Linked DNA regions of Callithrix jacchus. The protein of the gene in region 2 interacts with the protein of the main gene of each other region in a pairwise test. Links are inferred from orthologs where the notes say so. Each region holds a gene or a part of one and is shown on either strand. Other genes may lie near its edges.

Region 1 (3,810 bases), on a different chromosome or scaffold from region 2:
AACAAAGGACAAAGATAATACATGGCCCGCAAAGCCTAAAATAGTTCTACGTGGTCCTTTTTAGGGGTCTGCAGACCCCATTCTATAGCATTCTCTCAAGGCAACAAGGCAAACCATATACCAGTCCAAACATCAATCAGTCCCTTTTTCACATCACCAAAGAATCCCCAGGGACAAGTAGTAAAGTCAGAGCAGGCAGCTGCTTAGTGACCTTTCAGAGGGTTGCTACTATACCGCCAGACCTCCACCTAAGGATGTCACCACAATTATTTCACTTTACAATCAAATGTAAGACCCTAAGCATAGAGTATCAAGGCTCTTGTGAGGTCAAAGTTTGCTTTGGGATTAAAAACACCACAAGAAAGTTGGGGGGGCGGGTGTGGGTGGGTGTGTGTGTGTGTCTTTAACCGTCTCTTTTGGCTCTGGATCCCTAAAATCCTCAACTCTGTTTTTAATACCAAACCAGAAGCTGAAGAAATTCCCAGGAACAAGTGAGCAAGAATTTCACAGCCCCGGACATCAGAATCCTCTGCCTAACACTGAAAGGGGTCACAGCTTAGCCAGAAACAGCAGAAACTTCAGCACAGAAGCAAAATTCATTCTTCAGGACATACACTAATAACAATCACAAGTTGTTTTCTATAATTAAAACATATGGGCCAGGCATGGTGGCTCACACCTGTAATCCCAACACTTTTGGAGGCCAAGGCAGGCGGATCAGCTCTAAGGTCAGGAGTTTGAGACCAGGCTGGCCAACATGGTAAAACTCCATCTCTACTAAAAACACAAAAATTAGCCAAGCATGATGGTGCTTGCCTGTAGTCCCAGCTACTAGGGAAGCTGAGGCACGAGAATCGCTTGAACCCAGGAGGCAGAGGTTACAGTGAGCCAAGATGGCACCACCGCACTCCAGCCTGGGTGAGAAAGCAAGACAACTATCTCAAAAAAAAAAAAAAATTAGAATATATGATTTTCATTTAAATATATATATGTTTACATATATATATGTATATATGTCAGATATATATATGTATATATGTGTCAGATATATATATATCAAATCAATACTAAGCCAAGTAAGAAAAGGGGGAAAACAGGGTAGCCTTTCTCCCCAAACAAAGCAGAGGGGAGGAGGCCACAAGAATCTCTGATACCGAAAAGCTCTTAGAAGCTGAAGGAAAAGCTACCCCTTGTTCCTGGTCTTGGAAAAGGCCCTTTCACCTTCCCCCATTCTTGCCTACCTGAGGCGCCGACGAGGGTCAGAGGGTGTCCCAGTCCGACGGGCAGTGCCATAATCAGACATCATACCATAATCCAGGTCCTCATAGCCCATACTACGCTGGTCATCCTCTAGCCCATAAGGCTCTGGATGAAAGCGATGCAGATCCACGCTGCTCCCACCTACCCGAACCTGGGGTTGGGGCCCATACACATCCTGTCTACTTGGTGCCCGGTAGCCTTCCATGCTAGGCCTATACCGCTCCTCAATTCGGGTAACCCGGGACAGACTGCCATAGTTATCATTGCCACCTGGATAACCATCTTCATAGTGGCGGCTATATCCATCAGGAGGGTAGTGGAAGTTCCTGGGAAGGGTAGCAGTGCCTGCTTGCCCCACATAGGGACCAGGTCCCCCATTGCCATTCTTGCGGAAGTCACGACCCAAAGTCTGGATATAGTTGTTAGAAACTGATGAGGCATCCACAGGCAACCCATCTGGTCCCATAGGAACTGGCTGTACTGTCCGTGTGGTCACAGTCTTCACTACTTTCTTGACCTGCAAGTAAGCAACAAGAAAAAGAAAAACTAATGAAGGAAGTGAGCAATTAAATTCTAAACCACTCTAAAAGAAACAAACCCTTAGATCCCTAGGTCCTTTTACCTAGAAATGCTTTAAGGTCTAGCATCTATCTTTCTTGCAATCCTACAGGAAGTCCCCAAGCAGGAAAACTGCCCTGACAGTAATTATGCCTATAAGGGGAGCTGCTACAGACCTTGATATACCTTCTCTCTTCCCTGTTCCATAAGCTTTTCCGTATCTCTTCATCTTTCCTATCTGGCCAGAGATCACTTTCTTTATGTGGTCAGATCAATGATGGCATATCAATCCTCCATCTTAAGTGCTTAATCCCCTCCCCCTAACAGAAACAAAAAGACCTCTTCTATCATTTCCAGATCTTATACACATCTTAGTTTACCGTGGTCTCTGTGCGCCGAGTGGTCCCATCATCTGAGGTCTCCACAGAGACTACAGACATAGCTCCCTCAGGATCCTCCTGGGTGTAGGTCTCCACAATCTGCCCCGGTTCCTGCATCCTGGGGATAGTGCTATATAGAAGGTGACTGTGATCCTATATGGAAAAGAAAAGAGAGAAGAAACTACTGTTAAGCTCTGTGACCCTGGAGATAGGGACTCCTCATACATCTTCTATAGGCCTCAGGATTTTTAGATGGGTGGCTGCCATCTTTTAAACTTGTACAAAAGGACAGTAGACATAATCTCCCAGTTGTAGTCATTTAACAAACATGAACTGAGTTAACTATAGCCACATCAACATCCAAGTGACAGAGACAGTAGATTTAACTTCCCAGCTGTAGTCATCTAAGTTAATATGAACTGTGTTAACTGCAGTTTCATCTATATCTGAGTCACCCCTCAGAAGAGCAGCTCACCCAATAAAAAAAGAACTTTTAATTTATTTACTTGAGATAGGGTCTCACTCTGTCATACAAGCTAGAGTATGGTGTCATGATCATAGCTCACTGCAGCCCCAACCTCCCAGGCTCAAGCAATCTTCCCACTTCAGCCTCCTGAGTAGCTGAAACTACAGGCTCACACCACCACGCCTGGCTAATTTTATTTTTTTGTAGAGACAGGGTCTTACTGTGCTGCCCAGGCTGGTCTTGAACTGCTGGGCTCAAGAAATCCTCCAGCCTCAGCCTTCCAAAGTGCTGAGATTACAGGAATGAGCAAACCACACCTGGCCAAAATAAAAAACTTTTTTTTTTTTTTTGAGATAGTTTTGCTCTTGTGGCCCAGGCTGGAATGCAATGGCGTGATCTCGCTCACCACAACCTCCACCTCCTGGGTTCAAGCCATTCTCCTGCCTCAGCCTCCTGAGTAGCTGGGATTACAGGCATGCACCATCACGCCCTGCTAATTTTGTATTTTTAATAGAGATGGGATTTCTCCATGTTGGTCAGGCTGCTCTCGAACTCCTGACCTCAGGTGATCTGCCCACCTCAGCCTCCCAAAGTGCTGGGATTACAGGTGTGAGCCACCACACCCGGCCTGAAATAAAAAACTTTTAAGATAAACCTGAAAAATCCCAGTAAGAGCCATCTTTTGACTGGCTCTATGTCACTCTTCAGATACTATCTATCTAAAAGGCTCAAGACCAGCCAGATTTTAGGTAGGGTTTTCTGCTGCAAAGTAGAAGCCTTCTGTCTCTAGAAAAGAAACATAGTGCTTAGGGATCAAATGGGGTGGCAGTGGGGAAGAAAAATAGTCATAAAGATCAGTGGTCATTAAAATTCATTTCAAAACAAAACTACATATATACTTTGAAGCTCCATTTCTTTGTTTTTGGAAATGAAAAAAACTAATTAATGGGTGTGTACAATGTGCCAGGCACTTTACAAGACACCAATATGCTCTCACGGGCTGGGGAAATAAGAAAATATGAATGAAGCAACTCGGGTCTTGAGCCAAAGAATTACCTGGGGTCCGTTGAGTTTCAAATCTGAAAATTTCTGTCTCTCAAGGTCAGCATCGCCCACAAACCGGCCGTTCTGAAACACAGCCCACAA
Region 2 (4,581 bases):
AGTAGCATATCTGAAGAATACATAATTCAGTAAGTTAATAGCTTAAAAAGTAACCTAAGAACCCTTAAATGCAATTCTCCCTACCACTGTGGAACTGCAATTACAGGCTTACTGGTTATGATGAACTAACTTAACAAAAATATTCTGAGTTTATCATTTCTGCTATAGACTAAGAATTCTCCAGGGCCAAAGTCCTAATCCTATATAACAACTTACATGTTGCAATATAAACCTCCAAACTTCAATGAATAATAAAAACCTCCAACTACTACCTTCCCAGAGTTTCCAGGCAGCCCTTTAAAATGCTTTTCTACTGAAACGTTTTTGTGTCTGGCATTCAGAAAAGACTCAATAAACTCCCTCTTTCTATACTTACCTTCAAAATTGCCTTTGTACTGAGTTTTGCTCTTCTCGAAATGTGGGAGTTTGAAAGTGAAATACTTTTTATAGTAACTGGTTCAGTGACATCTAAAGGAGTCTTTGGGGTTAACATTCACACACAGGCCAGCACAAGTAGCCAGGCATACAAGGATAATGTGATTATGGTGTTAGATTATCCTTAACCATATGACTGCAGGAAAAGTAATCATTTTCTCTTTCTCCCCTCTCAACCATGTGGTCTAGAAAAGAGGAGCTATAGGTTGAAAAGTGACCTAATATTAAAAAAAACTGTCATAGATAGTCACAAAATCATAACACTCCTCTTAACTCAGTTTCCACAAGAAAAAACAGGATAATACCACCTTCTCAAAAGTAATTACACCATTTAGGCACAAAAGAAAGGCAAAAATTGGCCTCTAAGAGTAACACAACAATACAAAGAAGAGAACAGTTCCCTGGGAGGTCCTGTAATCGAATTCTGCTCCATTACTGATTATGAGACCCTGAGAAAATCACTCTATGCCCAACTTCTTCTTTGGGGAAATGGAGAAAATGAGTGAAATCACGAATATAAAACCATCTGCAAATTGGCAAGTATTAAATATGAAAACACTAGTGGCAGCAGTATAAACAAAATTTCTATGTTAACATGAGAAACTTGAGTGTGAACACAAGTAATTTAGAGCACTGGCCTGGAGACAGGGCAAATATAGAGAAGGCAGCCTCTTAATTTGCTTCAAATCTCCCCAGGTGCTCCTTTTCCCAGAGCTCCAGAAGGGAGAAGTACATACAGGTAAAGGGGGGTGCCTAGCTTTTCCAGAGATCACCAGACATCTGAGCTCTTGATCTCAGAAGGAACTTATTTAAAGCATGACTCAGGATTATCTCCAAGGTAAAGCTGAATCCCAGTAAATACATGTACTCCATTTTAAATGGACCCCAAATATCAAAATCCAAACACACTGAAGGATTCATAGGGTTCACCCTAAGAGCCCTTTAAGTAGTGATACTTGGGTTAAAATATGATTTATGAAAATTCAAATCACAAAACTTAGGAATAGCATCCATGACTACCCTGACCGCTGCATCCTTCATATCTAAGGCAAATCACAAAATCAAATATCAATATGGACTGATGGTTTTCCGCCAAAGAGAAAATTCTCTCAACCTACCAACACTGCTGACAAAAACATTTTCCTTTTCCTAGCTACACATTTGTTCATTTGAAAACATCTCAATCTTGGGCTCAGGACTGTGTCACATGCTGTCCCCAAGCTGCTTTCCTATCCCAGGATGATTCAAGTAATAGGGCATTCGTGACAGCGAAAAAAAGAACATGCCAGGGGGATATGGAGAGATACTTGGGCTACTCCAAATCTGCTTAGCGAGCCGGGTCATCCCGGGCCACTTTGCCACCCAAACCTCCTTTATCACAAAGTCCTAAAATTGGATCCATCAACTTGTTCTAGAACTGGTATACTTGAACAGAAACATGATAACTTCAGCAGAATATCCAAACAGGATCTCTGTCACGTTTCATTTCCCCGTCCCACCCCCAGACACAGCCTCCACCGTCAGCCCAGCAGGTGCTGCAGGGGCTCCCCATTACCACGGTCATTTATCACCTTGACATCAAGCATTAAAAATGCCACCACACACACAAATCTAAGCTTAAAGAACTCAGCTGCAATCTGAGTGTCTCTTCAGGGCAGAAAAGCCCACAGGCAGGGTTTAGAGCCCTGCCTCACGTTTTAAACTAGGGCAATTGGTGGCTAATAAGCGCCATCTCCCAAAATCAATCATCTGCGAGCACACCCCGAATGTCCCCGTCTGGGCTACGCTTCGCTGTTGCCCCGCCAGCAAAGCCCCCGCAACCCGACCCCGCCAGGGGTAGGGCGGGCGATGCTCCGGGCCCGGACGAGGGGCGCGCCGAAATCGCGCGTCCCCGCCGGGCGGGCCCCGGAACCCCCGCCCAGGCCCGACCGCGGGCACCTCCGCCGCGGGCTCGTGCCAGCCCCTGGACGCACGGTCCCCTCAGCGCGGCCCCGCCGCCGCCCGATTCCAGGCTCCCCCGGCCAGAACCTCCTCAGCCCAGCTCCCCTGCCCGCTCGGCTCAGGCATGTCCGGAAACCCGGCCCTTCCAAGCCCCGGCCCCGCAAGCCCAGCGCCAGCCCCACTCACTGCGCGGCGGCGGCCGGGCCGGGAGCTGCCCGCGGCCGGAGAACGCGAGCGCAGGGACGAGCGAGCCCGCGCCCGGCGACGGCGGTGGCGGCGGCGGCGGCAGAGGGGACGACTGAGCCCGCGCCCGGAGTTGCGGCTCCAGCTGCCCGGCGCGGGCGGCGCCTTCCCAGCAGAGCCTAGGCGCCACGAGCGCGGGCGCCCCCTACCGGCGGCGCGGGCGGGAAGCCAAAGGGACCGGCGGCCGGGGGAACTCAGCTAGCGCACCCGGAGCCGCGTGGTTAAGACCACACCACCGCAGCCCCGAAGCCCCGCCCCGAAGCCCCAGTCCGGTCCCCTAGGCTCCGCCCCTAAACCCCGCCCCTACGTCCAGCCTCCGCCCACATTCTGGGGTCCGCCCAGCCACAAGCCCACTGCGTCCTCAGGGCTGGTGTCGCGCAGCGTTTCTCCTCAATCATTTCACGAACTTGTATGGGGCCCCACTATATCTCAGGCCTGGGGGTTTAGGAGATACAGCGCCCACCAAGACGGAGGCGGGTTCTAATGGAAGGACAAGACAGACAAAACTCAAGGTAACAGCTAGTAGACAAAATAATGACAGGTTATGATCATAAGTGTTGGAAGGGGAGTGATTAGAGGATTTGATGGAGCAGAAGGGAAGGGGACCCCTGCTTCAAACGCAGTGGCCAAGGAAGACCTGGACCCGGACCTGCGGCCAGAGCCCCTCCTGCCTGCCCTGCATTGAGGAGACTGCTTCTATGAGAGCTGTGAGGAAGCCTCCGGGGCCACCCATCCGGCTTGGAGGGCAGAACAGTAAAGAGCAGCCGGGCCCAGAGGCTCTGCAATATGGGCAGCCAAGTGGAGAGGAGGGCAGAGCCACCACAGCAGACAAAACGACCAGTGCAAAGGCTCTGGGGCCTGGAGGAGCTCCGCGCTAGACAAGGCTGGCGCCGGTATTGTCCCCACTTCACCAGGAAGGAGGCCAAGGCTTCAGAGGATGGGCAGCTCCTAAGGCCTTAGGGCTCATTGGTCTCCATGAGTCCACTTGTTCCAAGTCCCATTCGCTTCCTGCTAGCTAGGTCGCGGTCCCCTTCCGGTGAAGCCAGTTCCCTGATGGTGGGTTTGCTGTTTCCGCTTCTCCACCAGAATAACCACTGGCCTTAGAAACTCACTCGGGTTTCACATCTGCATGTGTGTGAGCTGGCTCTGGGGCTGAAATTCTTATCAGCATCATCACAGTCATATTTGATACTTGATTTTTCTCCAAAAACTCAAATTGATAGGTTAAATAAATGACATATGCTTCATCAACATAACTGAGTGCTACATTATCAACTTCACAAGACTAGGGGAGAATACAGGGAAATGTGTGTGAAAATAATCAGTACACAAACTAGTATACATGATATAATCCTGATTTTATTTTTTAAAACATAAATATACACAGACAAAAATTTTGAGGGAAATACATCAAACCATTGATCATCATGTTGAAGATAATAGTATGGGAATGTTAATGACATTGCTTCTTAGTGTTCTTCTGCATTTTCATGAATATTGAATTTATAATCAGAACACATGACTATTGAATTTATAATTAAAAAATACGAGTTTTGGTTTGTTTGTTTTTTTGCACCCCACCCCACCCCACCTCACTCCGGCTTTTATTATTTTTTTTAAACAGGAGGACAATACCAAAATTACCCAATACTCAGACTTCCAGAATTTGGTACCACTGAAAATCCAGAATTGTCTCTGACTTACTGAGTGTCCTTGAAAGAGTCATTTCCCCTCTCAGGGCTTCTATCCCCCAAATAAAAACTGATGGATTAATTCTGTTGGTGTTTTTGTCAGACTTAGTCCTTCCTATCTTAACAATTTTTAGAACTATTGTTAATTGTACCTTCAAATTTTTCTTTTATAATTGACAGATGGCTATTGAAATGCAGTTGAGCCGGGCACAGTGGCTCATGCCTGTAATCCCAGCACTTTGGGAAGCCGAGGCGGGCATATCACGAGGTC

The links.
Region 1: the proteins of KCTD6 (region 2) and CTNND1 interact in binary tests that used the Homo sapiens proteins (3 or more experiments, as listed by UniProt). The two-hybrid records come from large-scale screens. The link is inferred for Callithrix jacchus from reciprocal best matches to the Homo sapiens genes KCTD6 and CTNND1.

What each region holds. Positions count from the first base shown.
Region 1 is NC_133511.1:115,363,645-115,367,454, reverse strand, and holds part of CTNND1 (catenin delta-1), read right to left. Parts: intron 3,793-3,810; coding exon 3,721-3,792; intron 2,352-3,720; coding exon 2,199-2,351; intron 1,778-2,198; coding exon 1,242-1,777; intron 1-1,241. UniProt on the Homo sapiens protein: Key regulator of cell-cell adhesion that associates with and regulates the cell adhesion properties of both C-, E- and N-cadherins, being critical for their surface stability.
Region 2 is NC_133516.1:40,276,879-40,281,459, reverse strand, and holds the start of KCTD6 (BTB/POZ domain-containing protein KCTD6), read right to left. Parts: upstream 2,816-4,581; 5' UTR 2,563-2,815; intron 621-2,562; exon of another isoform or gene 377-620; intron 1-376. UniProt on the Homo sapiens protein: Probable substrate-specific adapter of a BCR (BTB-CUL3-RBX1) E3 ubiquitin-protein ligase complex mediating the ubiquitination and subsequent proteasomal degradation of target proteins.